7 linked regions of the Ovis aries genome follow. Each later gene encodes a partner of the first gene's protein in a complex. Links are inferred from orthologs where the notes say so. Each region holds a gene or a part of one and is shown in the gene's direction. Other genes may lie near its edges.

Region 1 (3,842 bases):
CCCCACGCTAACAGTGTACAAAGAGTCCTTTGAGTGTCAGTTTCTGGCAGACACAGAAAGATTTTATACCAGAGAGAGCACCGAATTCTTGCAGCAGAACCCGGTTACTGAATATATGAAAAAGGTAAGCTTAAACATACTTAGAGTAGGGTTAAGTTAAAAGTTCCTGCTGCTCAAGTAAATTACTCTTTTTATGCTTATATATGCAGCTTCCTTCAAAGTCATGTCTTGGGCACTGTTAACCGGTAGTGTTTGTAGCAGGTGCAAATGGTTTCTCCCCACTCACTAAGGAGCTTGTATAAATTAACTTAATAATCGTGGCTCATGTTCTCCTACTGTGTGGAGGATGTAACTGTTACAGCTGAATGACATACGTGTTTGAACACTCTCTCCTAGAATGTACAGGTGTATCTAATGGCAGCCACCGTCTTACATCAGTGAAAAAATAGTATTTGAAGAAACAAATTTTTATCTGCAAACTTTAAGCTTTTTACTTTTTTGCTTCTGAGATCTCTCCTAAAAATCTATTTAACACAACCTTCCAGTGTGTATTAGAGAAGTCCTTCTGAAAGAACAGGATTGAAATTTTAGATGAGAAGACTGGGGATTGGTCTCTGCATCATGAATCTTCTACATCAAGTGATGTCACAGTACAGTTCTGCGGGAGGTATTCTAGCTTCCCTTCTCGGAAATACCGGTGTCCCAGACTTAAGCTCAGAGGAGTGACCTCAGTCAGGGGTCAGCAGACTTTCCTTGAAGGGCCAGATGGTAAATACTTTAGACCTCGTGCACACGTGGTCTCGTCTGCAACCGTTCAGCTCTGCATTATGGCACAAAAGCAGCCGTGGCAACATCGAAACTGTGCTCCAGTGCAAGTTTCCTTCCAGCAGAACTTTGCCCCCAGGCAATAGTTTGCCAACCCCTGACCTCAACGGGCAAGGAGACTTCCAGGGGGTCCGGGGCTGTGTGTCGGACACCCGCTTCTCCCTTTAGTCTCTGTTCACTTGGAGGGCAGAGTCACTGCAGAGTCACTTTCTCCATGTGCTGAGACCAGAAGTCAAGGAGAGCAACAGCTCCCCTGTCTAACCACATAAAGTCCTCCTCAGTTTGTCCATGACGTTCCTAGAACATTTTCCCATAAGAGATAGTAATTGTAAGTGGGCCTTACAAGTCTGAAGTTAAAAGTCCTTGACAGATGAGTCCTTCAAAACCTAACAGAAGTGGAACCCCACAGAACTATTACACTTGGGAAAGTGATAGTTCTTTGTGTATTTACGAGTTAAGTTAGCTTTCATGTGCCAGTCTGGAAGCTAACCAGCTTATTGAGAGTTGAAACAGCTGCTTGACCAATCAGTTTTAAATCTAAGCACTGATTTTTACAGTGTAGTTTTCATAAACATATCTTTTATTGAACTGTACAATATATGGTAAGTCTTTTAAAACTGTATATGTTTTTTAAAAGTGTAGCCTTTTATCAGGATACAGATCCACACGTGTGGTTCAGGCCTTTTCATTTCATGGACTTCTTCGTGAATTGCAGTTACCTGCTGTCCACACCGAGGAAGGTGGTAGTGCTTTGGTGCATGGAAATCCGCTTTATAGACGTATGGTTTCAACCCAGTCTGAGCCCTGCCTTCAAGGGAGAATGTGCTACCTGCATCCTGGCCATCTTAAATGGGGTTTCTTGGGTTAATGGTTTGGCCCAAATCTGGTTGGGTCTTAGCAAACATGACAGCCATTCCATTTGAAAAATCCACCATGTAGAGATTCTGTGGGCTTAAAATTGGAATTTAACTGTCTGAACAATGCTACTGTTACTACTAGCTGTAGACTTGCATCTCAAACTGGGCTATGTGTCTAATTGAAAATCCCCACTCCACCATTTACTAAGGGTGACTTTAACCCCCTAGTAAATGGTGGTTAAAGTCTGTTCCTCAGTTTCCTCATCTGTAAAATGGGGATATTTTACCATCGTCATCATCATCATTATTATGTATTATTTGATGTTTGGCCATGAGTATGCATCAAAACCTCCAGTGTATGCCTGATAGTACACAGGATAAAATATGGAACATTTTATTCTATAACTTGAGAAAATATGTTTATATTCGAACACTATTAGGAAGTAAAATACAAAACTCATGAACAGTTTTGAGATAAAACATCAACTTTCAAGAACTACTCTCCTTTTAGCAGCTCGTTTAGGCTAGATGTACAGATTCTCTGGGGTCTGTGTTCCTTTTTCTTGCATTGTCCTTCAGAGGAAACAGTTGAGAGTCTGTGCTTCCCTGCTACTGATGGTGTCGGGGGAACAAGCCTCAGCCACGTTAGTTTCAGTGTATCTTACTCTCTGTCTCTTGTGATTGAGTCTGTGGTGAGCCTTCAAAGAATACTTGACCTTTCTAGGTTTCTAATATCATTTTTTTAAGTTTTAAAAACAAAATATATGTTATGAATTTGCTGACTGCTTTTTGATCCATTTTTTCATTTTGTTTTTCCTGTATACTGATCCTAATAGAATTAATAGAGACAGTCTTTGCTTAATTTTATTTAGTCCTTTTGAATTTGTACTCTGATATAATTGTCTGCCAAGGACAGTGGTGATCACGAGCTTATTTACCGTCAAATCAACAGAGAATGTAGATCACTGTCCCTCCTAAAACCTAATGACTTCATACCCAGGAGTTTGGGTTTGTTGGTTTCCCTGGTCATGAAGTCTGTGAAATGTGGAGAATGGCATTATGTCTGAAAAAAAACAATGTACATACCTTAATTTGAAAATGCTTTATTGCTAAATTATGCCAAAACAATTATAATAGCAACATCAAAGATCACTGACCAAGGGTCAGCTTAACAAATAATAATAATGAAAAGTTTAAATATTTTGAGAATAACGGAAATGCAGCACAGACACACAGAGTGAGCACCTGTTCTTGGAAGAATGGTGCTGACAGCCTTGCACAACTAGGGTCACCACAGACCTTTAGTTCCTATTTCAAAGCAAAAACCAGTGCCAGAGCACAGTGAAAGGAGGCTGGCCTGTGGTCGGTAGTCCTCCCTTGTTCACGGTTTCAGTCACCCACAGTCAGCCTCTCTCTGACAATATGGAATGAGAAGTTCCAGAAATAAACAGTCTGTAAGTCTTAAATTGCAGAGTATCGATAAGGGTATTACCCTCGAAAGTGTGAAACAGCACGTATCTGTAGGAAGGAGATTGATATAAAGACATTCGGATGGTTAATCATGATAACCTCGTTGAAGTCATTTGAAGAGGACTTGGAAACAAAGATACAGGTTACAGAGGAAGTGGTGCGCACCGGGGACTGGTTATTGTGGTTAGCATTCCCTCCCCACCCCAGCCTGAGTCAAAGGACCCCTTCCCTCCTCTTGTTTTCTTCCTCATACTAGGTAGGGCAGGATTGCGAGTTGAATTTGTCATTGGTTTTGTTTTAAAAAGACACAAGTCCAAACTGTTGACCTGAGCTCACTCCCGCAGGCGGAGGCTCGTCTGCTGGAGGAGCAGCGCAGGGTCCAGGTGTACCTTCACGAGAGCACGCAGGACGAGCTCGCCAGGAAGTGCGAGCAGGTGCTCATCGAGAAGCACCTGGAGATCTTCCACACAGAGTTCCAGAACCTGCTGGACGCCGACAAAAACGAGGGTGAGCCGCGGAGATTCGGAGCGCGTGGATGTTGATTACGATCTGTGATCATGAAGTTGTGTGAAGGTCTAGACTCAGAGTTAGCGCTACCACACCAGCCATTCTTTAAGAGGGCTGTGTGTGTGTGTACCTTGCGGTGTGTTGATCTCAGATCTCTGTAGCGTGTTTTGGGTATGACTTTTT
Region 2 (3,842 bases), on another chromosome or scaffold:
GGTATCTATACTGAATCTACGCTATCCTACTTGGTGTTTATAACCTTTACTGAACTGTCTGTCTCCATTGACACACTTCTCACCCTACGTGTACTCTAACCATGCAGTACTCACTTGTACTCACTCAGCAAGTGAACATCCTCCTCACGTTTTTTTAAAATGCCTTCCAGTTTCTGTGTCATACCTTTAAAGAACTTTCCCACTTTCACATTATAAAAAATAGTTTTGTTTTCTTTTCATGATTTTATTTATTTATTTTATTGTAGGTAAGCATTGTGAAATTTATTTTGAGCTAAGAAATGAAATAGAAATCCAACACTTCTCAAATGGTTATCCAGATGACTGGAATTTTGTATAAAAACTGTACCCCCCCCAAAAAAATATATATATATTACAAAGTCTTTTGTAAGTTTACTGAATCCATAGGGCTTTTTTTTTTTAATGGGTGTCATTTTCATATTATTTTTGTTTATAACAGATGATGATGTACCTGCAGATATGGTTGCAGAAGAATCCGGTCCTGGTGCACAAAATAGTCCATACCAACTTCGTAGGAAAACTCTTTTGCCAAAAAGAACAGCGTGTCCTACAAAGAGCAGTATGGAGGTAGGTTAAATGTCTGTTTTTGTGTGTATAATGAAAGAATTGTTAGGAAACAAACAGGACTGTCATCATTTTTTAGAAGTAATGATTATGGGTAAAAATACATGCTTAACTAGTTTTCATTTTGTTTTTGAAGGGTGCTTCAACTTCAACTACAGAAAACTTTTTTGGTCATCGTGCAAAACGTGCAAGAGTTTCTGGAAAATCACAAGATCTATCAGGTATTTCCTTTGAGAAAGTTAAGGAATAGGGTCAAATAGTTCTTTTAAATTTTGTTTGATAACAGAAAGTTAAAATTAAGTGTTTATTTACACATTTGAGATTGAGAAAGCAATAGTTACAGAATAAACCTGAGAACCCTGACCTTCTCCATCTTTGACTGTAATTGTTGTATAAAAATATTTTTTGTATATTTATTGTAACCAATTACTGAAATGGTACATACTAGCTAAAAAAAAGAATACTGTTAAGAGAAAAGAAAAGAAATATGTGTCATCTCTGAAAGCACATGCTTATAAAATAATAGTCATCAAAAAATAAAAGCTCTTCATTTAACAAAATGAAAATTGTGCTCTTTAAATAATGAGAAAGCCTTTGGTAGCATGACAGATTATGTTCTGTTTGTTAATCTTTTTATAGCAGCACCTGCTGAACAGTATCTTCAGGAGAAACTGCCAGATGAAGTGGTTCTAAAAATCTTCTCGTATTTGCTGGAACAGGATCTTTGTAGAGCAGCTTGTGTGTGTAAACGCTTCAGTGAACTTGCTAATGATCCAATTTTATGGTAAGTGAAAATTTATTTCTTAGTATCTTGAGATATATTACTTACTGCCCCAAATGCTAAAGGATGGTAGGAAGGCTGGAGTGTGAGTTGATGGTTACAGTTAAATAGAAGAAAATTAGAATATTTATAAATTCCAGTTCAGTCGCTCAGTCGAGTCCAACCCTGTGACCCTATGGACTGCAGCACTTCAGGCTTCCCTGTCCATCACCAACTCCTGGAGCCTACTCAAATTCATGTCCATTGCCTCAGTGATACCATCCAACCATCTCATCCTCTGTCATCCCCTTCTTCTCTCGCCTTCAGTCTTTCCCAGCATCAGGGTCTTTTCCAGTAAATCTGTTCTTCCCATCAGGTAGCCAAAGTATTGGAGTTTCAGCTTCAGCATCAGTCCTTGCAATGAATATTCAGGACTGATTTCCTTTAGGATGGACTGGTTGGATCTCCTTGCAGTTCAAGGGACTCCCAAGAGGCTTCTCCAACACCACAGTTCAAAAGCATCAATTCTCGACACTTGGCTTTCCTTATAGCCCACCTCTCACATCCATACATGACTACTGGAAAAACCATAGCTTTGACTAAATGGACCTTTGTTGGTAAAATAATGTCTCTGCTTTTTTAATTTCATGGCTGCAGTCACCATCGGCAGTGGTTTTCAGTTCAGTTTAGCTGCTCAGTTGTGTCCGACTCTTTGCGACTTCATGAAGTGCAGCACACCAGGCCTCCCTGTCCAACACCAACTCCCTGAGCCTACCCAAACTCCTGTCCATTGAGTCAGTGATGCCACCCAGCCATCTCATCCTCTGTCGTCCCCTTCTCCTCCTGCCCTCAATCTTTCCCAGCATCAGGGTCTTTTCAAATGAGTCAGCTCTTCCCTTCAGGTGGCCAAAGTATGTTGGTCCTTCCATTGAACACCCAGGACTGATCTCCTTTAGGATGGTCTGGTTGGATCTCCTTGCAGTCCAAGGGACTCTCAAGAGTCTTCTCCAACACCACAGTTCAAAAGCATCAATTCTTCAGTGCTCAGCTTTCTTTATAGTCCAACTCTCATATCCATACATGACTACTGGAAAAACCAGAGCCTTGACTAGACAGACTTTTGTTGGCAAAGTAATATCTCTGCTTTTTAATATGCTGTCTAGGTTGGTCATAACTTTCCTTCCAAGGAGTAAGTGTCTTTTAATTTCATGGCTGCAGTCTGGAGCCCCTCAGAATAAAGTCTCTCACTGTTTCCATTGTTTCCCCATCAATTTGCCATGAAGTGATAGGACTGGGTGCCATGATCTTAACTTTTTCACTGTTGAGTTTTGAGCCAGCTTTTTCACTCTCTTTCACCCTCATCAAGAGTCCTCTTTGCTTTCTGCCATTAAAGTGGTATCAGCTGCATATCTGAGGTTATTGATATTTCTCCCATCAATCTTGATGCCAGCTTGTGCTTTATCCAGCCCAGCATTTTGCATGATGTACTCTGTATATAAGTTAAATAAGCAGGGTGGCAATATACTGCCTTGACATACTCCTTTCCCGATTTGGAACCAGTCTGTTGTTTGATGTCCGGTTCTAACTGATGCTTCTTGATCTGCATACAGATTTCTCAGGAGGCAGGTCAAATACTCTAGTATTCCCATCTCTCTCTGCCTTTGTTCCTCTGCCTTTTCTAAATCCAGCTTGAACATCACTGGAAGTTCATGGTTCTTGTATTGTTGAAGCCTGGCTTGGAGAATTTTGAGCATTACTTTGCTAGCATGTGAGATGAGTGCAGTTGTGCGGTAGTTTGAACATTGTTTGGCATAGCCTTTCTTTGGGATTGGCATGAAAACTGACCTTTTCCAGTCCTGTGGCCACTGCTGAGTTTTCCAGATTTGCTGGCATATTGAGTGTGGCACTTTCATAGCGTCATCTTTTAGGATTTGAAATAGCTCAACTGGAATCCTATCACCTCCACTAGCTTTGTTCATAGTGATGCTTCCTAAGGCCCACTTGACTTGGCGTTCCAGGATGTCTGGCTGTAGATGAGTGATCACAACATCATGGTTATCAGGGTCATGAAGATCTTTTTGTATAGTTCTTCTGTTAATAATATCTTCTGCTTCTGTTGGGTCCATACCATTTCTGTCCTTTATTGTGTCCATCTTCGCATGAAATGTTCCTTTGGTATCCTTAATTTTCTTGAACAGATCTCTAGTCTTTCCCATTCTGTTGTTTTCCTGTATTTCTTTGCACTGATCACTGAGGAAGGCTTTCTTATCTCTCCTTGCTGTTTTTTGGAACTCTGCATTCAAATGGATATATCTTTCCTTTCCCAGTTACCTGTTTATCACAAATGTTGGTTATCAGTCCAGGCAGTTTTTAAAACTATAAGAAAGAAAGTGAAGTCACTCAGTCATGTCTAACTCTTTGTGACCCCATGGGCTGTAGCCTGTCAGGCTCCTCAGTCCATGGATTTTTCCAGGCAAGA
Region 3 (4,333 bases), on another chromosome or scaffold:
CCAAACAGGAAGCTCTAGCCAGTAGGAACACAGGTGTGTGAGAAAGGCTGAAAGCCTGCAGGCCTGGAGGACCCGCCCCTCGGGTTGGAGCAGGCCCCAGGCTTGCTCTGCTCTACCCACTCCTCTTCTGCACGCACCACCCCCACCTCCTCACCCCTGGAACCTCATAGCCACGCTGTGATCATCTGTTCACTTGTCTCCTACTCCAGACTGGCTTGGAGGCTTGGCACCTTGGGTCCTGTGTGTGTTCAGCTGTTGAGCACAGAACCAGTACCCTGATGGAGTTCAGACAGCAGTGTGAGTGAGGGGTGTGGGCACAGAGCAGTTTGATGCCTTGGGAAGAGTGTAAGAAGAGAGCCTTGACCCAGATTCCCTGGCTTCTCTGGGAAAAACCACTATGTCCTTGGCCATCAAGCACTTCTCCCAGAAGTTGCATTTCTTTCCTTGTCAGAATGTCTCACGGAGGAGGTGGGGTGAGAGCTGGTTCCTGAAAGACAAGGCCGGGTGGGCACTGCCTAATACCTGGGTGAACGGAGTGTTGCAGCCACTAAAGCAAGCAGGCGTGCTCTTCTGTTTTAGTGGGCTCCCAATTGACCGCGAGGAGATGGTGAAGACTGACAAGGCCCAGGTGACACGCTGAGGGTTTGCCCTGGGAGGGATGGAGGGGTCCAGGCTGAGCCGCGTTTCAAGGGAAGGAGTCAGACGCGCTGAATGAATCACCCAGGCCTGTTTCTGCCCTGCGATCTATACCAACAGCGGCACGGACAGAACCAAGGGTCTCCTCGCCTGAAGCAAGGACGGGAGGCAGGGCCTTCGGCCTCAGGGTGCAGGCCACTAAGGTCAGGGGGCAGCCTTGGTGAGGTGCCTCCCGCGGGGGCCCGCTCGCCTGCGTCCACGCAGGTCGAAGACCGCGTCGGGGTCCGCGCTCAGAGACCCCTGGCTCGGAAGCGCTGCCGGTCCGCTCAGACCTTCACTGACAACCCACTGTGCGCCATGGGCTCTGGTCGCCGGGATCTCTGCCGCCGACTCAGCGGCAAGGCCGAATCCCAGAATAGGGCAGGTCAACGCGGCTCGGAGGGAAACCAGGAATTCCACTGCCGACTGCCCCGGAGCCGCGCTCCTTCAGACCCCAGCCAGTGCTTGGGAGGCGGGGCGGCCGCGCAGGTTCCACCAATCAACAGCCGGCGTTCGAATTCGCATCCTGGAGCAGCCAGTCGCGGGCGCCCGATGCCGAGGGGGCGTGGCTCGGGGCGGAGCCCGGTGGGGTAGTGGCGCTCGCCCCCCGTGGTGGGCCAATGGGAACGCCCGGCGCGTTTGAAAACTCAGGCGGGAGGCAGGCGGGTCTGCGCCTGCGTGGGGAGGCGCGCTCTGGGCCCGCGGGCGGGTCTGGCGGCTACAGCGGCGGCGGCGGCCACGGCAGCGACGACGGCTATGGGGAGCGGAGGCGGTGAGCGCGGGGCGCGGGGCGCGGTGGAGTGGCCTCCAGACTGAGTGGGGCCCGCTTGAGCCTTTCAGCCCGGGGTTCGGATCGTCCCGACGGCGCCTACCCGGCGCGCGGTTTAAATACCCAGCGGCGCCCAGCTCCGCGAGAAAGCGGCGCGAGGGGACCACCACCTGTGCAGGGCCGTGAGCGCCGCCGAGGAATTTCCGTGGTTATACCGTGGCTGTCCTAGGGCAAGGGAGTGAGGATAATAGGGCAAAAGGCGAGGATTGGTCGAGCTGCGTATGCGCTCGGCTTTCGCATTAGGTTAATTACTGATGGGAAGCCCGGGTGAGGAACGAGGGGAGAGGGCAGGAAGACGCCCTGAGCAGGGAGCTTGCCCGGTGGTGGAGCAGCCACCTCCCGTGGGGACTGGAGGAAGGAGCGGATGAAGAACCGGGTGAAGCGTCAGGAATGGCACCTTCTGCCACAAGCTCCTCTGCTTGGAGGGAGGAAAGAGTTGCTGGAGCTTAAGTTGGAAGGACCCCCCTGTCAGGGTCTCAGAGGACCCTGAGACCGGCGGGACAGCTCTGACATCCACAGAGCTGGGACTGGCCTGCCCTCCAAGTCCACCCTTGGCTTCTCTGCAGGGTGGACCCTCTGAATTTGAACTGGAAAACCTGATTGTTCAAATCCTTATTAACATTTCATGTTTTAGTCATGTGTGCAAATAGAAGCAAAGAAATCAGCTAGAGTCCAGGCGTCTCCCTGGCTAATCATCATCAACACTGTCTGCTCTTCCTTTCTTCCTCGTTGTTATCTGGGCTCTGGGTCAGACGGTTTCCCAATGGCCAGCTTACATGATTACTACTCACTGTAAACATTTATCGAATAATTTGAATGAATGAAGATGTCTCTTATACCACTACGGCTTCTTTATTTAATCTTTGGGACTGTAACTATGGCTGGGGCAGAGGACCAGTAACTGTTAAAACATGTTCAGATGTAACTTTTCATATCACAGTTCATTTCCAACACATCACTTAAACCATTCTGATTTGTTTTCTTAAGTGATCCACTGTAGGTGTGCCAAGTGTTTCTGTTATCCTTCAAAGCGGAGAATAAGGAGGAGACCTCGAAACCTCACAATCTTGAATCTCCCTGAAGATGCGCTCTTTCATATCCTGAAATGGCTTTCTGTTGGAGATATCCTCGCTGTCCGAGCTGTAAGTTGTCAGATGAACACAGTGTCAACCCTGGCATTGTTGATTTTACCACGAAGGCTTCATGTCTCAAATGTCAGAACAAAAACTCTGGCTACCGATGAGGGTAGATGATCCCCAACGGTGATGTTGGCAAGTAGACGTTTGAGGTTGTTCTGACGACAGGAAAGCAAAAACATAGGACAGCAAGGTTTGAGTCCGCTCTTTGCAGTGTTTATTTTAACAGAGAAAGTACCTTTTCCTGGCAGTGAAATTTGAATCCCTCAAGATACGGGAGAGTGTTAAGAAGAAAAAGAGTATGTTCTTGAAGATGGTGTGAAGTAGAAGTGTTAGTTGTTCAGTTGTGTTCAACTCTGTGACCCCATGGACTGTAGCCCACCAGGCTCCTCTGTCCATGGGATTCTCCAGGCAAGAATACTGGAGTAGGTAGCCATTTCCTTCTCCAGGGGATCGTCCTGACCCAGGGATTGAACCTTGGCCTCCTGTATTGCAGGCAGATTCTTTACTGTCTGAGTCACCAGGGAAGCCCTTATGAGGACAAATCTCATATAATATCCAGTGCTGAAAGGGGCTCTGGGCTTTATTGTGCAGACATCAGAACTGCAGCCTCACCCTGAGCCACTTAACCAAGGGCATCCAGCAAATTAGTGGGGGAACACCCACAAGAACCCATTTGTCTGACTCCCAAACCTGCCTCCATTGTGTTCATAACATCTGCAAGTGCCATTTCCAATGGCAGTGGGAGCTTTTGCACTTAAAATGCTTGCTAGTGCCCCCGTTGACCGCCCAGATTCCAGCTGTGCTCCCACTAGCAAAACAGATTTCTGACCTACCCGTTAGCCCTAGAGTCGGTTTCCCTGGTCGTTGCAAGTATATAGCATTATATCCTGTTTCTCAGCCTGGTGCTTACCCCCACTTCCAGGACCTGTCCCCACCTTTAGAACCACAGAGAAAGTTGTGTCTGATTTCTTTTCTCTGTTCAAAGCAACTGCTAGTTAGTTTGATACACAGAGCCCAGGAGGCCTTACTGGTAGGGTCAGAGGGAGACAGGAGATCCTATGTCTGTCTAACCCTGTCTTCAACAGCTCCAGAAGTGGGCCTTCCCTGTAGTCCCTTGATAACCCCCCACCCCACTCCTGTTGTTCCTCAGGTACATTCCCACCTGAAGTACCTGGTGGACAACCATGCCAGCGTGTGGGCATGCGCCAGCTTCCAGGAGCTGTGGCCTTCTCCGGGGAACCTGAAGCTCTTTGAAAGGTATCTGCACCCAAGAGCAGCCGGGCTTCCTCTCACTCCTGGCCTTCCCTGCCGTGCCAGTCTGTCTCAGGGCTGGACCTGGCCATGGTTTTCCTTCTGCTTGTAGGCCTCTGCCAACACCATATCCCCCAGGGAGTGACTGAGCATATAGACCTCACCCATCGAGTCACATGACTTCTAGCATGGTCATGGGTCATCCGCACCCCCAGCTCAGACCTGCCACTCATTAGTCACAGTGGTGCTTCCGGAAGGTCCGCTTCGGCTGTGACCCATCCCGCGTGGCTCAGATGCAGGTCACCTGCACGTGGAAACTTCTTATTTCCCTTACTTTGGTCAGGACCATGTGGTTTGAATCCTAGTGCATTACATTCCCTGGCTGATCCCACCCCCTCCGACAGACCTGGAGGAAGAGCCAGAGGGGCCAGGAGCCACA
Region 4 (4,579 bases), on another chromosome or scaffold:
TTCGATTTACAACATCAAGGTCTCCAACAACATCACTTACAACCAAGAAACTGATTTTACAGTCAAAAAATTCTGATAATGGGGTTGCACTATGGAATGCAGTGGTCTTACAATGTACATCATCAACCAGAAAAAGATGGTCCAATAAAAATATGAGATGCACTGCTGAAGGCTCAGGTATGGCAGCAGTTTGGAAACCCCACTCTATGATATAAGAATGTTGTACCATAAATTCTGGTGCACATCTAAGATCAACAACTAATAGGTGATGGTATTTTTTATAGCCATTATAAACACACTCTTCAGAGAATAAAGAAGGGAGGTGGTTGCAGCTCCTATTTCCCTCAAACTAGTAACTCATTTACAGATCATTTTCTTTCCATCCCCCAACACAGGGCTCAGCCTTGTTCTAAGGGTCTAGTAAAGAAAGAAGTTCTTCCACCAGAGTAAAAACTCTGATTCTTATAAATAGGAATTTGCCACTACTCCCTGGCTCTTTGAGGTTTCTTGTGCTTGCTGCTGCTGCTGCTGCTGCTAAGTCGCTTCACTCGTGTCCGACTCTGTGCGACCCCATAGACAGCAGCCCATCAAGCTGCCCCTGGGATTCTCCTGGCAAGAACACTGGAGTGGGTTGCCATTTCCTTCTCTGATGCATGAAAGTGAAAAGTGAAAGAAGTCGCTCAGTCGTGTCCGACCCTCAGCGACCCCATGGACTGCAGCCTTCCAGATTCCTCTGTCCCTCGTATTTTCCAGGCAAGAGTCCTGGAGTGGGGTGCCCTTGCCTTCTCCGTTCTTGTGCTTAGTGGCTCAGTTGTGTCCGACCCTTTGAGACTCCATGGACTGTGGTGAAGTATACAACTGTGAACGTATTTAATGCCACTGAACTACACACTTGAAAACGGTTAAGATGGTAAATGTTATACGTACTTCACCATAATTTAAAATAATAATAAAACAACCTGAGAAAGTCCCTGGCTCAAGGATAAGTACACAGTTGTTGCCTCAATAAATGTCAAGTCCCTTCTTACCACTCACTGGTGTGATAATGCGCTGAGGTACTGTGGAATAAATTGCTCTCCCCCTGATGTTAAAAGAATATCAAGTCTCCTGAAAAGGAATTGTTTTTGGAAATAGGGAACAGAAGATGGCCTTTAGAGGAGACCTCCAGGCACCCCTGTCCATCCAAACCTCCTTTAAAGCAGCTCCCACACGAGGGCACAGCACGTAGGCCTGCATGGCTCCTCCACGCAGCAGATACGATGCTTCACTCTATTACACAATGAGGACACGGGAGGGAACGCAAAGCAAGGACTAAAGGCTGCGGAGCTTTCGCTCGCCCCAGCCTCCCAGAAGCTCCAGACTCTGGCGGCACCTCAACCCCTCCGCCTTCCTCCTCCCTTGGCCCCGCCCACTCTCCTCCCGCTCTGCCCGCCTCCCTTTCAGATTTGCGGTGGACAAGGAATCGAAAGTGAAATAAGGAAACGGCTGCCATCCACTGCGTCTCTTGAAAAGGTGAGTGAACTTGGCTAGACCGAGGTACCCCAGCTCTCCCTAGGGGACCTCTCTCCCCTGCCCCAGGTCTGAAGTGCCTCATCCAAGCCGTCCCCACCCCTAGAGATTTCGATCTCAGGTTTTCTTTCGCAACAGGTCTCCCTCAACCTTAACCCAGCAGTTTTTCCCCTGCAGCCTGGGAGGAGGCTGGGCTGTAAACCTGACTGGGATGTCCCCTGGAAGGAGCTCGGATTGCTCTGCTTCCGCCGGCACCTGAGCTGGGAAGAAAAACCAGGGAAACTGGGAGAACCAGGATGGCAACCTAGCTCAGGGGTGGTCCGGGAGCCCGGTGTGGGGGTAGGTCCGCGATCCCTGAGACTGCTGTCCCCAAAAGGCTCCCTCTGGAGGTGAGAGAGACAGGGTTGCTTAGGATATTAGAAAACTATGGGTCTGCGCCCTAGAAGAAACAAAGGCGGGGCCAGGTTCAGGGTAGCTGAGAGAAGAGCCCAGGAAGTTCTTAATAAACCTCACGCTTCTGTGTGTATGCACATACATATATACACACATATACATATGCGTGTGTGTGTGTGCTCAGTCGTGTCTGACTCTTTGCGACCCCATGGACTGTATGTAGGCCGCCAGGCTCCTCTGTCCACGGGATTTCCCAGGTAAGATACTGAAGTGGGTTGCCATTTCCTTCCCCAGGGGATCTTCCCAACTCAGGGATCAAACCTGCTGTCTCCTGTGTCTCCTGCATTAGCAGGTGGATTCTTTGCCACTTGCACCACCTAGGAAGCCCATGTACTTACGGATATACGTGTATCCTTATGAAAATATGTAAGCATAAATATAAATATTCTTATATATATTCATGTTACCGATGATTAGATAGATACCAATAACTCCTGCCTATTGCAAAGATTAATGAGAATGTATGTGAAGCATGTAGCACCTGGCACATGGAACGAGCACAGTCAATGGTCGCTACTGTTAAGATTAGCTTCTCAACAGAGTAGAAAACCAGTGGCCTGAGGCAGAAGATCAATAGGTAAAGCCTGGACTCTGAGCGGTTAAGCAGAGATGAACATGATGAAAGTCGAATTGTAAGCAGCTGTCTCTCAGGTTCTCAACAATATTTGCTATCTCTTGGGGACTCAGTGTCCCCTTCTGTCTGACTGGATCAGTGACCCAGACTATGGAAGAGGAGCACTATTCAGGTTGAGGTCCTTGTCTTTTCTTGTTTTCACTCCCTCCAGTTCACCCTCTCTCGTGGTTCCCTTTTCTTACCTGGCTCTTCTCTTCCGTCCCTTTCCTCTTCTCCCCTCACCGCAAGATCTCCCCAGCACTACCGAAGAGGAGCATCACCCCAATGGCTTCAGCCGTACCCTTGACAATGATGTGGGAGGAGGTCACGTGCTCTATCTGCCTGGATCCCATGGTGGAGCCTATGAGCATTGAATGTGGTCATAGCTTCTGCCAGGAGTGCATCTCTGAGGTCGGGAAAGAAGGAGGTAGCGTCTGTCCTGTGTGCCGGCGCCACTTCCTGCTCCAGAATCTCCGGCCCAATCGACAGGTAGCCAACATGGTGGACAACCTTAGGAAAATCAGCCAGGGTGCCAAGGAGGGCCCACACGGGGAGCTGTGTGTGGTGCACAGAGAGAAAATTCACCTCTTCTGTGAGGCAGATGGGAAGGCCCTTTGCTGGGTGTGTTCCCAGTCCCAGAAACACCGTGATCATCCCATGGTCCCTATTGAGGAGGCTGCTCAGGAGTACCAGGTGAGTCCTCAGCACAGAGGCAGGAACAGGTAAAAAGGAGATGGGGCCCTGTTGATGGCTTTGTTCCCCAGAGCTGGAAATGGGAGAGAGTTACCTGTGGGGCTGGGGAAAGAATAGGGGTCTCCTGCCTTCTATGTCTTATTTAAGGGGGAAATGGCAAGCTCAGCACAGTTTTCTCATTCTCACAGAGCAGGGATGTGCTATGGGAAAATGCTTCAAGAATCTTCTTCCCTTGTGGCCTCCTGCTTAATTAGGAACAAGCAGTGCCCCCACCCTTTGTACACCAACCGTGTGGCCCTATTTTGTAAGAAATATCAGGCTTTTTCCAAAACCTTCCCATCCACAGAGTTCCTACCCCAAACAGACTCTAGTCCTTCCTTGTCCTCTGCACTCAGCCTCTTCTAAGAACCAGTATGATCTTCCCCCCACTTCACACCACTGCACCCTACTTCTTGACCTGACTGGGTATCATCTTGCTTTCGTTCTCTGCAGGAAAAGCTTCAGGTGGCACTAAAGAAACTAAGAGATAAGCAGGAGATGGCTGAGAAGCTGGAATTGGACATTGCAATGAAGAAAGCATCCTTTAAGGCAAGAGTCATATCCTGAAGGGAATCTTAGATCTGAAGCCTGGGGAGGGTCCAGCTATGCCAGTCCCTATATCTCACTCCCCAAGAACCAGCTGCCCCATAGGTCTCTTGATGGAGGGGATTAAAAGAGTGTGGAGATCAAAAAGAGCTCCCAGTCAGATGGAGAGAGAGTCTTAGGAAAAGGTGCTGAGGGACAAGATATATTCTAATGCTCCTGCTTCTTGAGCCCAGTCTCTGGAGATGACAGCCCAGTCTCTGGAGATGGCCTCAGAGTTTGGGACAGGGGAATGCCAGGAGAGATGCCCAATGTCAAGAAATGACAAGTTGTCAAGAAATGACAGTGACTATGAGAACCAGATTTAAGTGAACCATAAAGGCCTAAGATGGGCTTCCCTAGTGGCTCAGATGGTAAAGAATCTGCCTGCAGTATTGGAGACCTGGGTTCAGTCCCTGGATTGGGAAGATCCCCTGAAGAAGGGAATGGCTACCCACTCCAGTATTCTTGCCTGGAGAATCCCATGGACAAAGGAGCCTGGCGGGCTACAGCCCATAGATTCACAGAGTCGGACATGACTGAGCAACTAACGCTTTCACTTTCAAAGGCCTAGGACAGGAAAGCCAGTCTGACCGGGTAGTTACTTGACCATGTCCAGCTCACTGGTCCAAAATGTAATGGAGAGCTACAGCTTGTTCCACCCCAGGGATTAGCAGGTGGGGTGGGCCA
Region 5 (3,842 bases), on another chromosome or scaffold:
TGTAGCTCGTATACCTTCTGGTGGCCTCCTGGCTCATGGGAAACCTAAGCTCCCTGGGGCTACACCTTCCACAGTCCCCCTCCCTTCCCTGAGCAGTCCCTGAGGCCTGTGCTTAGTCAATGTCCCACGTATTGGGGCTCTGCCCCCGGGGCCCTGGGGTGATGTGGCCTTGATGATGATCATGCTTTTTGGAGGCTCAGAAATTTTCAGTACTATGCATTGTAGATGAAGGCAAGAGCCCTCAGCATTAAGTGTCAGGATGTAACTGTTAATACATCCCAAGAGTCCTCTCTTGGGCGTCTCTCTGACAGGTATCCATGTGTGCACCTGTGCAGAGAGGCAGGGCCACCCCCAGTCCATTCCCTTTGTTTTGTGCTTGGGATCCCGCAGTGACATGTTTTCTTCTGCTATTGCATCCTGGCCCTGCCGTGGGGCAGCACTGAGCCCTCTGCTGCTCACCGGCATGTCTCATCTGCCTTCTGTGGTGTCTCCTGTTCACCTGCAGTGTAACCAGATCCACCACGGCCTTCGCTCTGGCATTGTTGTCCTGGGCAATGGGAAAGGCATCATCCGGAACAATCAAATCTTTTCAAACAAGGAGGCTGGCATTTACATCCTGTACCATGGAAATCCAGTCGTGAGGTATGTACATGCCTCTGTACTCAGACCACCCTGCTCACCCATGGTCCCTTTCTTCTTCTTTCATCTCTGGTTCCCTGCTTCCTGTCTTTGCTTCATTGGAAACCATTTTTGTTTACTAAAGCAACTGTATACATGCAAGCAGAGAAGAGACAGACTTCACCCACAATCCCACCTCAGTAACACAGCCTTCTGTGTTATATTATCTGTGTTCTGTGCCTTTGTGTCTGTGTTCCCTTCCAGTTAATTATGTGGGGCCATTCTATTCAGCAAGAATTATTGGGCACTTCTAATAATGATAACAAAGGTAAACCAGGCAGACTTTCCTCCCTCAGAGCTTACTCTAGTCTGGAAAAGGACATGTGTGTCCAGAAATAATGCTGAGTCCTATCTTAGCATTATTATCCTATATGGCATAGAGATTTCAACTCACTTGACGACTCTGATCAGTTGCTGGTGGCTATGTGGGATGCTGTGTTAAGATTGGAGGCTACATCTGACCTCAGCATGGAAGCATGCCGTGATCCATCACTGGTGTAAGCTGTAGGTAGTGGGGCTGTGGATCTGCCCTCCCACCCATCACGTGGTGCAGGCTGTGATAAATGCTGTCAAAGTGGTACCGAGAGGGGGAGTTATTCTGATGAGGGGGCTGTGGGGGGCCTCATTTGGGAGCTGGCATTGGTGTTAAGACTTTGAAATACAGGTAGGGCTTGGCCCCTCGTGGAGCTGGGGAGTAGACGCTCCTAGAGAAGGAAGTGGTGTGAGCAGAGGCAGCCGAACATAGCAGAGTCAGGGAGCACGCAGTCCTCTGGGGCTTGAGAAAAAGCCTCACACAAGTTGTGACATTGCTGTAAAACATCTCAAATTGGGACTGTCCTGGATCATCTTGGGTCCTGTGGTCACTGCAGCCTGAGTGTTTATATCCCCGTGGCAGTCCATCTCTGCCAGGCAGTGTGCTAGAAAGCCTTGGGCCAGATGAGGAAGGCCTTATGTAGTCCAGTGGGAAAGGTGGAGTTTATTCTGTCTAGATAAGGGGGGATCACTAAAGGTTTTGAGTGGAAGACTCACATGTTATGTCTGCACTTTACAAAAATAACTGGAATTACTGTGCAGCAAATATATTCTGAGAGTTTTTCCCTGCATTATCCTGTGTGTACTTTTCCATGTTGTTGCAGGATCTTGTATTTATCACTTTGGTCAGTTTCAGAACATTCCGTTGTTTTGATACTCCCTCATTTTTGAACCAGTCCTATTACTGTTAGGCTTCTATTTTTTCACTATTGTAGGCAGCTTGTTTTTGTTTGTTGTTTAGTCACTAAGTCATGTCCGACTCTTTTTCTACCCCATGGACTGTAGCCCACCAGACTCCTCTGTCCATGGGATTTCCCAGGCAAGAATACTGGAGTGGGGTGCCATTTCCTTCTCCAGTAGGCAGCTTACTAAAAACAATTAGTGATCACGTGATTATGGAGCTGTTTACCCATCTTTTACGTTACTGCCTTAAGAGTATGGGTTTGTATGTGTGCATATTATTCATTAAACACACATTTAGGTGTTTCCTCCATATAAGGGGGTTAGCAGTATAAAGGTGTATGAACAGTCTCTGTTCTGTGAAGTGTTCACTGTCATTCTACAGATGGGAGCTATAAGGGAAGGACTCACTAAAGTGAGCATTTTTATAGGTCTTCATGCAGGTACAGAAGAAAACCAGTCATGATTGCCACTGAGTCAGGACAGGGCACATGGGGCACTGACATTTGAGCAGTGCTCAGATGGTAAAGAATCTGCCTGCAATGTAGGAGACCCAGGTTCAATCCCTGGGTCAGGAAGATGCCCTGGGAATGGCAACCCACTCCAGTATTCTTGGCTGGAAAATTCCATGGACAGAGGAGCCTGGCAGGCTACAGTCTGTGGGGTTGCAAAGAGTTGGATGTGACTAAGCGACTAACACTTTACTTTTACTGAAGGACAAGTAGGATTTTATGGCCTCAGAAAGGCATTACAAGCCTGGGGCAGTGAAATTTGGAGTATGACCTGGGAAAGTGGTGGGAAAAGTGTGGTATGTCTGGGCATAAGGTCAGCCTACAAAGTAGGGTTGATGCTGGAGCATGGAGGAACTCGAATACCACGTGTGGTAGGTAGAATAATGGCCCCCCAAATCTATCCACTTTCTAATCCTTGGAACCTGTGTATAGACTGTCTGCAAGGCAGAAGAGACTCTGCAGATGTGGCTCAGTTAAGGGTGCTGAGATGGGGAGAGCACCTGGGTGATCCAAGTGGGCCCAGTGTAATCACAGCGTCCTTAGAAGAGAGAACAGGAGAGTCAGAGAAGGAAATGTGTCAACAGAGGCAAGGCCAGAGGAGTGAGGCCACAGACCAGGAAGCCTGAGCCGCCTCTAGGATCTGGAAAGGTCAGAGACAGATCCTTTCCGAGTCTCCAGAAAAAAGGCAGGTCTACTGGCACCTTGATTTAGCCCTGTCAGACCCATTTTGGACTTCTCACCTCCTAAACTGGAAGATAATAAATTCGTATTGTTCTAAACCACCAAGTTTATGATAATTACTTACTGCAGCCATATACCCAAACCTTGTGGGTGCTGGGGAGCTGTTAAAGGGTTTCGAGCAAGGAATATTACAAGCAGATCAGTGTCTTGGCTTTTTCGTGGTGGTTGTTGTTATTTTATTTTATTTTAGGCTTTTTAAAACAGTCACTTTGAGGGAATTCTCTGGTGATCCAGTGGTTAGGACTCCATGCTCTTACTGCTGAAGACCTTTGTTGACAAAGATCCCGCAAGCCAAGAGCCTCCCCCACTAAAAACAATTCTGGATTTAGATGTAAACTACTATATGCAGAATGAATAAACAACAAGGTCCTACTGTATAGCACAGGGAACTATATTCAATATCCTATCCTGTGATAAACTATCATGGAAAAGAATATGAAAAAGAATGTCTATATGTGTATAAGTAAGTCACTTTGCTATACAGCGGAGATTGGCACAACATTATAAATCGAATAGACTTCAGTAAAAAGTATTTTTGAATAAAACAGTCGCTTTGAGAGAATTAGGTTGTGCTTTTTTCCTTTATGTTTCTTTGTGATGGAGGACAGGGATTTGTGGGAGGTCCCTGAATTTCAAGGTCCCTGATGTGACCTCAATAAGGCAAGCCATTGAGCATATTTTTTTGCTGGTAAGAGTTAC
Region 6 (3,842 bases), on another chromosome or scaffold:
CTTTGATACTTGAATACATAGGCATGAGTTTTCTAGTTTAAAAAATTGCTGAGATAATTAGCAAAGAGGTTTTTGCCCTGTGTTTTCCCTGCAAGCTTTAAGAGTTAACATTTATTTACACGAGTACTTCCTCTGCTCTGATCATTCTGGTCAATGGGAAAACATCGTCTGCTTTTCATGTCATAGGAGTCAGCTCATCCTATCTTAGAATGAGGAAATAATTAGCAAACAGTTATCATTCCTTTTCAATATTTGTGGCATCGTGTTCAGAGTTTTCCTCTACACACCAATGCACCGTAAACGTTGTCTGGCTGGAGGTCTTGAAATCTGTTTTGCTGTGCTGCAAACGTAGAGGTGTGTGTGTTTCACTAGAAGCCTGTAGCCAAGAGCCACATTCGCCGACTGGATGCTCTGACGGGGTGACAGGTTATGGAGCCCTGCAGTGATGTGTGGTGTACATCACAGACTGTGGGATAAACCTCTGTGCGTCCGTAGAGGTACAGGGCTGAACAGCCAAGCAGACTAGGGGCAGGGGTAGTGTTTGTGTGACCGGCTTCATCCCCTGTGTCAATAAGAGGAAGACTTCCGATACAGTGCGGACATCCACCATAACAAATGCTAGCGCCAGCTAAATTCAACTGTGTGTATAATGTCCTCTGAATTCCCAGCTGTCTCAAGAAGGACTAATGTGAAAGATGTTATATGCTCTTACATTTTATAGATCATGAACAGATGGGGGGAAAGTGTGCCAATTGGTAAAGAAATTCATATGCAGAATAACACACCTCAAAATGGTGTTTCGAAGGTTTTTCTTTTTTAAAATTATTAAATTTATCTTGGATAAAATTTAATTACTCCTTGGGGGTTTCCTGTAATATTATATGCGTAATTCATTTGAGTTTATGCCCTCTACAGATATGAATGTTTGGAAGTACAGGTAACCTTGTAATGAATAAAACTGATAAAAGGTTGTGTTCCAATAAAAGGGAAATTATGGAATGATTATTCACTTTGTGAAAGGCTCTGTCATAGGGCACACTTTCCTAAAGCATTTTAAATTGGATTACATTTAGGAAACATTCGTTTATACACAACATTTCAGGAACAAATGTAGTGAGGAAATGAGAGAACTACTCATAATAAGATAGAGATCCCTTCCGCTGCTGACGTTTGTGCTTCCTGTCTTCTCTGCCTCCCCTCGCAGCTCTGATAGCCATCGGGCGATACAGCATGACAATAGAGACTGTGGACGTCGGCTGGTGCAAAGAGATCACGGACCAAGGGGCCACCCTGATTGCACAGAGCAGCAAGTCTTTAAGATACTTGGGGCTGATGAGATGTGATAAAGTGAGTTGCCTGTCGACCTTCTTTCCTACGTATCCGTGTCGTTTACAGCTTGATATTAGATTTTTCTTCACTACCTGGGTATATATATGTACACATGCACGTACTTATGTTATTACAGGTATGCATGGGAAGCTGCCTGGTTTTCTAAACTAATCTGAGATGATTTTTGAATATCTCTGTTTAAAAATGAATGTTTGTGCTTATGCAGAAAGAAAACAGCAGTCACACACACACTTAACTTAGATTTTGGCTTCCTGTCCGCAAGTCCACGGACCACGATTAAGTGTGTTTGCGTGGCACACTGCAGTGCGTGTGGCTTAACAGTGAAATTCCACTCAGGTTCCAAGTTTCCTGCAGCAGTAAGTTGGAAGGCCCGCTGCCAGATGATGCTGCCGCAGTCTGAAGTGCTCACTGCTCAGCGTCTTTGTGTTCTGCCCCTCAGGGGGGCAAGAAAGGGCCAGTGAGGCAACATTAGTTGGGAATCCCCACACTGCAGATGCTGCTTTTCACACATGTCGAGAAGCGGTCCCAGAGGCCCCACCGATGGTCAGTGGAGCTGGCCAGAGGCATGAGCCTGAGTTTGAGAAGTCGGGCTGCGTTTAATAAAGATGATCAGAAGCTGCACTGATAACCAGGCATTGGAGACGCACTTTCCCCTTTGTCTCTTTTACGTTTTCCTGGTAACAAATCTAGGAGATGGTCTGTGCTGCGAAGGGGAGAAAACGGAGCTCAGAAGGACCAGACACTGGCCCCATGCCCCCCATCCAGGGTGGCACCCCAGATCTTCAAGCCTATGGCCAGTGCCCAGGGCCCACCGCAGGGACTGTCTCCAGAGAAGGGGGTGCTTCCTTGGAAAAGACCCACCTCAGCTACTCGCTCTGAAAATGTTGGCAGCTTGTAACAATTTATACACGTGTGCTGCTTTTTGTGATTGGTGATTAGGCACAATGTAGCAAAAGAGCCTGAAGCTAAATATATATGCCTCTCAAAGGACATGCAGTTTCTAAATGTAGCAAATTGGGGACAAATAAGAATGGCCCAAATTCTCTGTGCGCTTTGTCAGTTTTGTTAATTGACCTAGTTCTTTTTTCCAGATGTTTTACAATCCCAGCTTATACCAGACCTTTCCAGTTAGTCATGATTAGAGAGACTTTATATACTCAGCCCAGCCTAGAAAGCTGACTGAGTTTATTACTGAGCAACAGCGGAGAGCCCGGGGTGGCAAGTCTCTCTTAAATTTCACCACTAACTAACTTAACACTGCTACTAACCCTGTCACTTCGAAATGATTCCTTTTAAAACAAGTGAGAGTCCATAGCAGGCAGAGTGTTCTAGAAACCCCGAACAGTGACAGCAGAACTCTTCGGCTTCTGCCCGAAGGAATCGCTGCGCACAAACTGCCTGCGCAAGGGCAGGAAGAGGTGAGCATTCACAGCCGGGCCCCTGCGCCCACAGCCATTCACAGCCGGGTCCCTGCGCCCACAGACATTCCCAGCCGGGCCCCTGCACCCACAGACATTCCCAGCCGGGCCCCTGCGCCCACAGCCATTCACAGCCGGGTCCCTGCGCCCACAGCCATTCACAGCCGGGCCCCTGCGCCCACAGCCATTCCCAGCCGGGCCCCTGCGCCCACAGCCATTCACAGCCGGGCCCCTGCGCCCACAGCCATTCCCAGCCGGGCCCCTGCGCCCACAGCCATTCACAGCCGGGTCCCTGCGCCCACAGCCATTCACAGCCGGGTCCCTGCGCCCACAGCCATTCCCAGCCGGGCCCCTGCGCCCACAGCCATTCCCAGCCGGGCCCCTGCGCCCACAGCCATTCACAGCCGGGTCCCTGCGCCCACAGCCATTCACAGCCGGGTCCCTGCACCCACAGACATTCCCAGCCGGGCCCCTGCGCCCACAGCCATTCCCAGCCGGGCCCCTGCGCCCACAGCCATTCCCAGCCGGGCCCCTGCGCCCACAGCCATTCACAGCCGGGTCCCTGCGCCCACAGCCATTCACAGCCGGGTCCCTGCGCCCACAGCCATTCCCAGCCGGGCCCCTGCGCCCACAGCCATTCACAGCCGGGTCCCTGCGCCCACAGCCATTCCCAGCCGGGCCCCTGCGCCCACAGCCATTCCCAGCCGGGCCCCTGCGCCCACAGCCATTCACAGCCGGGCCCCTGCGCCCACAGCCATTCACAGCCGGGTCCCTGCGCCCACAGCCATTCCCAGCCGGGCCCCTGCGCCCACAGCCATTCACAGCCGGGCCCCTGCGCCCACAGCCATTCACAGCCGGGTCCCTGCGCCCACAGCCATTCACAGCTGGGTCCCTGCGCCCACAGCCTCTGGCGGAGGCCACCGTGTTTCTAGTCCAGACTCTAGACCTGTTGAGATCAGCACCCTCTTTGGAGCTGAATTTGGTACTCCAGTTAGTTAAGAAGATCCTTTCAGATGTATTTGCTGACTAGCATTTTGCCAATTTTCAGTAAGTGGAAGGATCCTTTTCTGCATA
Region 7 (4,570 bases), on another chromosome or scaffold:
CAGTCTTCCTGGGACTGATGACAGCACAGTGCCTGGCAGAGCAAACCTGATCAGTGGATTATAATTATCATTAGAACATTACTATTATCATTATAAAAAGGCGTCGCAGGCTGAGCACAGGCGTGGAGACTGGAGTCTAAGGCATGATTTGGGGACAGGACACAGTACTGAATGAGAGAGGGAGCGGTGCACAGCAGGAGCCTGGGGAGGTGTCCTCCATGCCCCGGGGTCACAGCCCTCAGCCTGTTTTCCTCTCACCCTCCCTCCTGCAGGTGGAGATGGGGCCCTTTAAGCACACGGTGGACGATGGGCTGGATGTGCGGAAGGCGGCCTTCGAGTGCATGTACTCACTGCTGGAGAGCTGCTTGGGCCAGCTGGATGTCTGCGAGTTCCTGAACCACGTGGAGGACGGCTTGAAGGACCACTACGACATCCGGGTAGGAGGACCCCCGCCGGACCCACTGCCCGTCTGTCCCCCACGCCCGCCCCAGGCTCCCCCACGCCCGCCCCAGGCACCCCCACGAGAGTAGTTGCTTTGTTCTCTTTTACTTTTGGCTGCACAGTATGGCATGTGGGATCTTAGTGCCCCGATCAGTGCCCATGCCCACCCCCTGCACTGGAAGGCCAAGTCTTAACCACTGGACCACCAGGGAAGTCCCCTGCTTTGTTCTTTTCCAGTAAGAACCCAGTTCTCACACCTTTGGTGGGAGTGGGCAAGGCCTTGGGAGGTTGGTTTGGCCAGAACTACAAAAAAGTAGAACTTAGAAACGCTTTATGTATTTATCGCTTGATTTATTTGTGGCTGTCCTGGGTCTTCGTTGCTTCACGAGCTTTTCTCTAGTTGCGGCGTGCGGAGGCTACTTTCTGGTTAGAGCGTGTGGCTTCTCATTGCGGTGACTTCTCGCGTTGTGGGGCACAGAGTGTAGGGTACTCACAGCTCCGGGGCTCTAGAGAACAGGCTCAGTGGCTGTGGCTCCAGGCTCTGGAACGCAGGCTTGGTGGCTGTAGCTCCGGTTACTTGCGCTGCGGCATGCGGACTCTTCCCACACCAGGGAATGAACCCGTGTCTCCTGCGCTGGCAGGTGGCTTCTGCACCACCGAGCCGCCAGGGAAGCCCTAGGCACATTTCAAAATGTGAAATTCACTCCACGAACTGACCCCTAAACATACGTTCCAAGGGTTTAGGCGGGAGGTGGTTCTCCACAGCTCTCTGGGAGTTGGGAAATGCTCACCGGGAGTTGGCTCAGTGCACTGGGTGCCTCCCGTCACGGGATCCTGACACTGTGGGCTGGCGTGGAAGGTGGCCCAGACCTACTGTCAGGTGGAGAGTGAGTTGTGAAACTTTGGCCATTTTATTACCTGTGGGGCAGACCGCTTTCACCTTCTGTCCTCTTGGAGCTTTTTAATATATATACAATGAGCATGAATCCCTTTTGTAATGAAAAACCAATGTAAGACAAGTCATTAATTGTGTTTGTTTAGACAATACAAAAGTGAATAAATGGAGTGGTAATCACCCAAAAGTTCCACACACTTAAGAGCCGGAGTTGTAAATCTGTGTTTGCTGGGCAAACGCACAGAAGCATTCCTTAGTCAGCCAGTATTTGGTGAGCGCCAGAGGAGATCAGGGTGACAGGCAGGCCGGCTGCTACTTTGGACCTGAGTTCCGGGGGTCAGGTCCACCCCTCTGCTCTCCCCCAGGGCCTGCTCTTTTCGGTCCTGGGCTATTTCACCAAGAACTGTCTCCTTCACCCGGTCAGATGCTAACCTTCATCATGCTTGCCCGACTGGCTACCCTGTGTCCTGTGCCCGTCCTGCAGAGGGTGGACCGGCTCATCGAGCCCCTCAGGGCCACCTGCACTGCCAAGGTAAGCCTCCTGCCCAGCTCTGGGTGTACCTGCCAGGTCCCCTGCAGATGGTTCAGTTACCATTTACCGAGAATCTCTGGAGATACAGGTGGTATGTGAAACACTTTCAGTCCTTATCATTGTCTTATTCTTACCATTCTATACACAGAACAAATGTTCAGAGAGGTTACTGACAGGTTACACAGTAACTTGCAAAGCTGGTATTCAAACCTAGCTCGTGTCCGGCCTTGTGCAGGGTACCACCAGGCATGCAATACTAAACACGGTGGACTCCCTCCTCTCACATCCTAATGGGGAAACTGAGTCAGACACTTAGAAATTGCTGGTTGATTGCTAGCTAGTGGGCAGTTACCCTGGAGTGCCTCAGGGTCCAGGGAGGACCTGGGGCAGAAGGCTCACGGAAAGCTGCGCGTTGAGAAGAGCCTGTCACACCCAGGGGGACCCAATAAATGCCTGCCAAATGCAAGAACTAATTTGGGTTTTGGAAGGGTTCAAATTAACCAAGAAAAGGGCAGAGCCATTTGAATCCAGCACTGCCCAGCCCCAATGCCAAGCTCTTAACCTCTACCAGGAAGAGCCTGAGTGTCGTCTGGGTTGAGTCACGGAGTGTCCTGAGAGCAGACCAGGAACCTGGACTTGATTCCATAAACAGCAGGGAAATTCCTGAGAGTCTCTGAATAGGCGGGCGAGGTGGGGATAAGGCAACAGAAGGCAGGCAAGCCAACTTTGGGCTGGTAAGCAGGACGGGTTGCACTTGAGTGGCGGGAAGGGGTCAGCTAGCAGGCTGTCAGAACAAGCCATTCATCAAGTCCAGCGGTGCCGAGAGCCTACTTTAAGCACTGTAAATGAAGCTAGGAGATGGGGCATGAGCTGGGGAAGATGACAGGTGACCAGCTCATCATTTCCACTTTAGGTCAAAGCTGGTTCTGTGAAACAGGAGTTTGAGAAGCAAGACGAACTGAAGCGCTCGGCCATGAGGGCAGTGGCCACCCTGCTGACCATCCCGGAAGTGGGCAAGAGCCCCATCATGGCTGACTTCTCCTCCCAAATTCGATCCAACCCCGAGCTGGCTGCCCTCTTTGAAAGCATCCAGAAAGATTCTGTTTCGGCTCCCAGCACAGACTCCATGGAACTCAGCTAACACCCACCCCCTGGTTACCCCAACATGTAGGGAGGCCCACCAGAGTCAAAGCCAGAGCCTCACCCTACCACTGCAGGCCTCTACTCCTGCCCTTTCTCCATCTCCTGCTCGGGGCTTCCAGCACCTTCTCTAGGGACCCCAACTCAGAGGCTCTGTCAGAGCTGCCAACAGTTGGGCCCTTTAACTCAGGACAGTCATTCAGAGGGGGCGTGGTAGTCCTTCCAGGCCTCCTACAAAGATGGATGTGACTTCACACAGGTTAGCCTGGCTCCCTCCAGCCAGGGGTCCCTGCTCATAGTGTTCAGTCTTTAGAAATACCCTCGTGCTCACAGGAGGCAGGGGGCCGGCCTTCCTCCCTGCCGCTGTCCCAGACATCGTCACTCCCCTGCTCCCCTTTCTCTATTTCACCTGTTCTGATCTGCCAAAAAGTAGTGCTTTGGCTGGGCATCTGAAAAACTCAAGATACCTCTATGAGCTCTTCACACTTTAGAATCCAAAATGCTTTACAGTTTTGCAAGGCCAGGTGGGTTGGGTAGGAAATAAGATGTAATTTTTTTTCTAATCCCCAGACTCTTATGTAGCAAATCGGCAAATATGTCACCCGGTGGTTTGTGAACCGTCCTCTTTACTTTTTAGTATCAAGGACACAGAAACAGTAAATGTCAGGCCAAAGAATTTTCTGCCATCCCAGGTCAATAAAGGACAGATCCTGAATCACCATTATTTTCTCTGCACAATTCCTCTTCTCAGTAGTTAAGACGGTCAGAATGCTTCCCAAGTCTTTCAGAGAAATGAAATGACCAATAATTTACTCAACAAATGTTTTGTCAGATTAGGTTTTGAACAGGACCCAGTCAATCTGAGACATCCATCTACTAGAACTATGGGATTTAAACCCAGTCCTGTGCCAGAGTGCGACATGCCCTGTCCCACGTGACCTGTGCTGCTTAAACCATGTGTTGGAAAAATGGTTCATAAAACTTCATGGAACAGCTGAACTCCAGCTGTTGCTGCCTGAGATCTACGGCTGCAGCTAGAAGGGAAACCCGACTGTCCTCAGTCTTCCTAAGAACCACACGGGGTGACTTCTGTTCTAACTTTACACAGTGAGGCTAAAAATGACTACCTGCTCCAAGTGCAAGGTCCTTCCATCTGGGTCTCAGAACCTACCCTGGTCTGAGCAGATCATGGGTCCTTTACAAACACCCCTTCCTAACAGAAGGTTCCAGAGAGCAGAACAGGCAGAAGACCAATCTGAGGCGAGCTGTCATCCTGAAGAGTAAGAACCAAGGGAGAGATGCCAGATGGTCGGGTTTTATGCTTTTATTACCACAAACAAAATGTGCACGCGAGCCGTCTATTCGTTTTCCTCGCTGCGCAGCCGGGCATTGGGATTGGTGATTCTGATGGCCAGCTGGGCCGCTCTTTCCACAATGGCCTTGCGGTTCTTGGAGGAGACGTTGTGAGCAATCTCAGCACAGTAAGATCTGGGAGAGACAATCAGTACATGGGTAAGGAGGCCTGCCTGGAAGGCGCGCTGTGTTCCAGCGGGAGGGCGGGC

What was found.
Region 2: CUL1 (region 1) and FBXO11 share a complex: the UniProt entries of both Homo sapiens proteins name them as parts of the SCF(FBXO11) complex. The link is inferred for Ovis aries from reciprocal best matches to the Homo sapiens genes CUL1 and FBXO11.
Region 3: CUL1 (region 1) and CCNF share a complex: the UniProt entries of both Homo sapiens proteins name them as parts of the SCF(CCNF) complex. The link is inferred for Ovis aries from reciprocal best matches to the Homo sapiens genes CUL1 and CCNF.
Region 4: CUL1 (region 1) and TRIM21 share a complex: the UniProt entries of both Homo sapiens proteins name them as parts of the SCF(SKP2)-like complex. The link is inferred for Ovis aries from reciprocal best matches to the Homo sapiens genes CUL1 and TRIM21.
Region 5: CUL1 (region 1) and FBXO10 share a complex: the UniProt entries of both Homo sapiens proteins name them as parts of the SCF(FBXO10) complex. The link is inferred for Ovis aries from reciprocal best matches to the Homo sapiens genes CUL1 and FBXO10.
Region 6: the proteins of CUL1 (region 1) and FBXL17 are in contact, whole or in part, in a cryo-EM structure (PDB 8UBT), measured with the Homo sapiens proteins. The link is inferred for Ovis aries from reciprocal best matches to the Homo sapiens genes CUL1 and FBXL17. Residues at the interface, in NP_001357589.1 of Homo sapiens: Thr54, His143, Arg147, Asp150, Glu151; in NP_001156787.2 of Homo sapiens: Pro325, Ser327, Leu330, Asp358, Phe359, Gln360, Asn387.
Region 7: the proteins of CUL1 (region 1) and CAND2 are in contact, whole or in part, in a cryo-EM structure (PDB 8VVY), measured with the Homo sapiens proteins. The link is inferred for Ovis aries from reciprocal best matches to the Homo sapiens genes CUL1 and CAND2. Residues at the interface, in NP_001357589.1 of Homo sapiens: Val31, Thr33, Arg34, Gln35, Met37, Lys39, Tyr42, Met111, Asp112, Trp123, Arg127, Phe128, Val132, Asn181, Leu184, Glu188, Gly193, Glu194, Thr195, Asn197, Thr198, Arg199, Ser202, Gln206, Val209, Glu210, Gly212, Leu213, Asn214, Lys221; in NP_001155971.1 of Homo sapiens: Asp21, Phe22, Phe24, Met25, Asn61, Gly62, Glu63, Gln65, Asn66, Leu67, Glu100, Gln101, Asp104, Asp156, Asp160, Leu189, Ala190, Lys193, Arg194, Glu276, Gln280, Asp343, Asp344, Trp349, Lys350, Arg353, Glu389, Ser492, Ser493, Thr494.

The regions. Positions count from the first base shown.
Region 1 is NC_056057.1:113,128,139-113,131,980, forward strand, and holds part of CUL1 (cullin-1), read left to right. Parts: coding exon 1-124; intron 125-3,496; coding exon 3,497-3,659; intron 3,660-3,842. UniProt on the Homo sapiens protein: Core component of multiple cullin-RING-based SCF (SKP1-CUL1-F-box protein) E3 ubiquitin-protein ligase complexes, which mediate the ubiquitination of proteins involved in cell cycle progression, signal transduction and transcription.
Region 2 is NC_056056.1:76,631,108-76,634,949, forward strand, and holds part of FBXO11 (F-box only protein 11), read left to right. Parts: intron 1-478; coding exon 479-606; intron 607-739; coding exon 740-824; intron 825-1,242; coding exon 1,243-1,387; intron 1,388-3,842. UniProt on the Homo sapiens protein: Substrate recognition component of a SCF (SKP1-CUL1-F-box protein) E3 ubiquitin-protein ligase complex which mediates the ubiquitination and subsequent proteasomal degradation of target proteins, such as DTL/CDT2, BCL6, SNAI1 and PRDM1/BLIMP1.
Region 3 is NC_056077.1:2,458,231-2,462,563, forward strand, and holds the start of CCNF (cyclin-F), read left to right. Parts: upstream 1-1,365; 5' UTR 1,366-1,431; coding exon 1,432-1,447; intron 1,448-2,491; coding exon 2,492-2,646; intron 2,647-3,793; coding exon 3,794-3,900; intron 3,901-4,333. UniProt on the Homo sapiens protein: Substrate recognition component of a SCF (SKP1-CUL1-F-box protein) E3 ubiquitin-protein ligase complex which mediates the ubiquitination and subsequent proteasomal degradation of target proteins.
Region 4 is NC_056068.1:49,571,158-49,575,736, forward strand, and holds the start of TRIM21 (E3 ubiquitin-protein ligase TRIM21), read left to right. Parts: upstream 1-1,456; 5' UTR 1,457-2,159; intron 2,160-2,196; exon of another isoform or gene 2,197-2,328; intron 2,329-2,824; 5' UTR 2,825-2,860; coding exon 2,861-3,268; intron 3,269-3,760; coding exon 3,761-3,856; intron 3,857-4,579. UniProt on the Homo sapiens protein: E3 ubiquitin-protein ligase whose activity is dependent on E2 enzymes, UBE2D1, UBE2D2, UBE2E1 and UBE2E2.
Region 5 is NC_056055.1:51,222,542-51,226,383, forward strand, and holds part of FBXO10 (F-box only protein 10), read left to right. Parts: intron 1-505; coding exon 506-642; intron 643-3,842. UniProt on the Homo sapiens protein: Substrate-recognition component of the SCF (SKP1-CUL1-F-box protein)-type E3 ubiquitin ligase complex. Mediates the ubiquitination and degradation of BCL2, an antiapoptotic protein, thereby playing a role in apoptosis by controlling the stability of BCL2.
Region 6 is NC_056058.1:104,498,128-104,501,969, reverse strand, and holds part of FBXL17 (F-box/LRR-repeat protein 17), read left to right. Parts: intron 1-1,204; coding exon 1,205-1,347; intron 1,348-3,842. UniProt on the Homo sapiens protein: Substrate-recognition component of the SCF(FBXL17) E3 ubiquitin ligase complex, a key component of a quality control pathway required to ensure functional dimerization of BTB domain-containing proteins (dimerization quality control, DQC).
Region 7 is NC_056072.1:56,293,688-56,298,257, reverse strand, and holds the end of CAND2 (cullin-associated NEDD8-dissociated protein 2), read left to right. Parts: intron 1-272; coding exon 273-437; intron 438-1,760; coding exon 1,761-1,868; intron 1,869-2,781; coding exon 2,782-3,009; 3' UTR 3,010-3,729; downstream 3,730-4,570. Other genes in the region: RPL32 (large ribosomal subunit protein eL32), read right to left, coding at 4,367-4,496.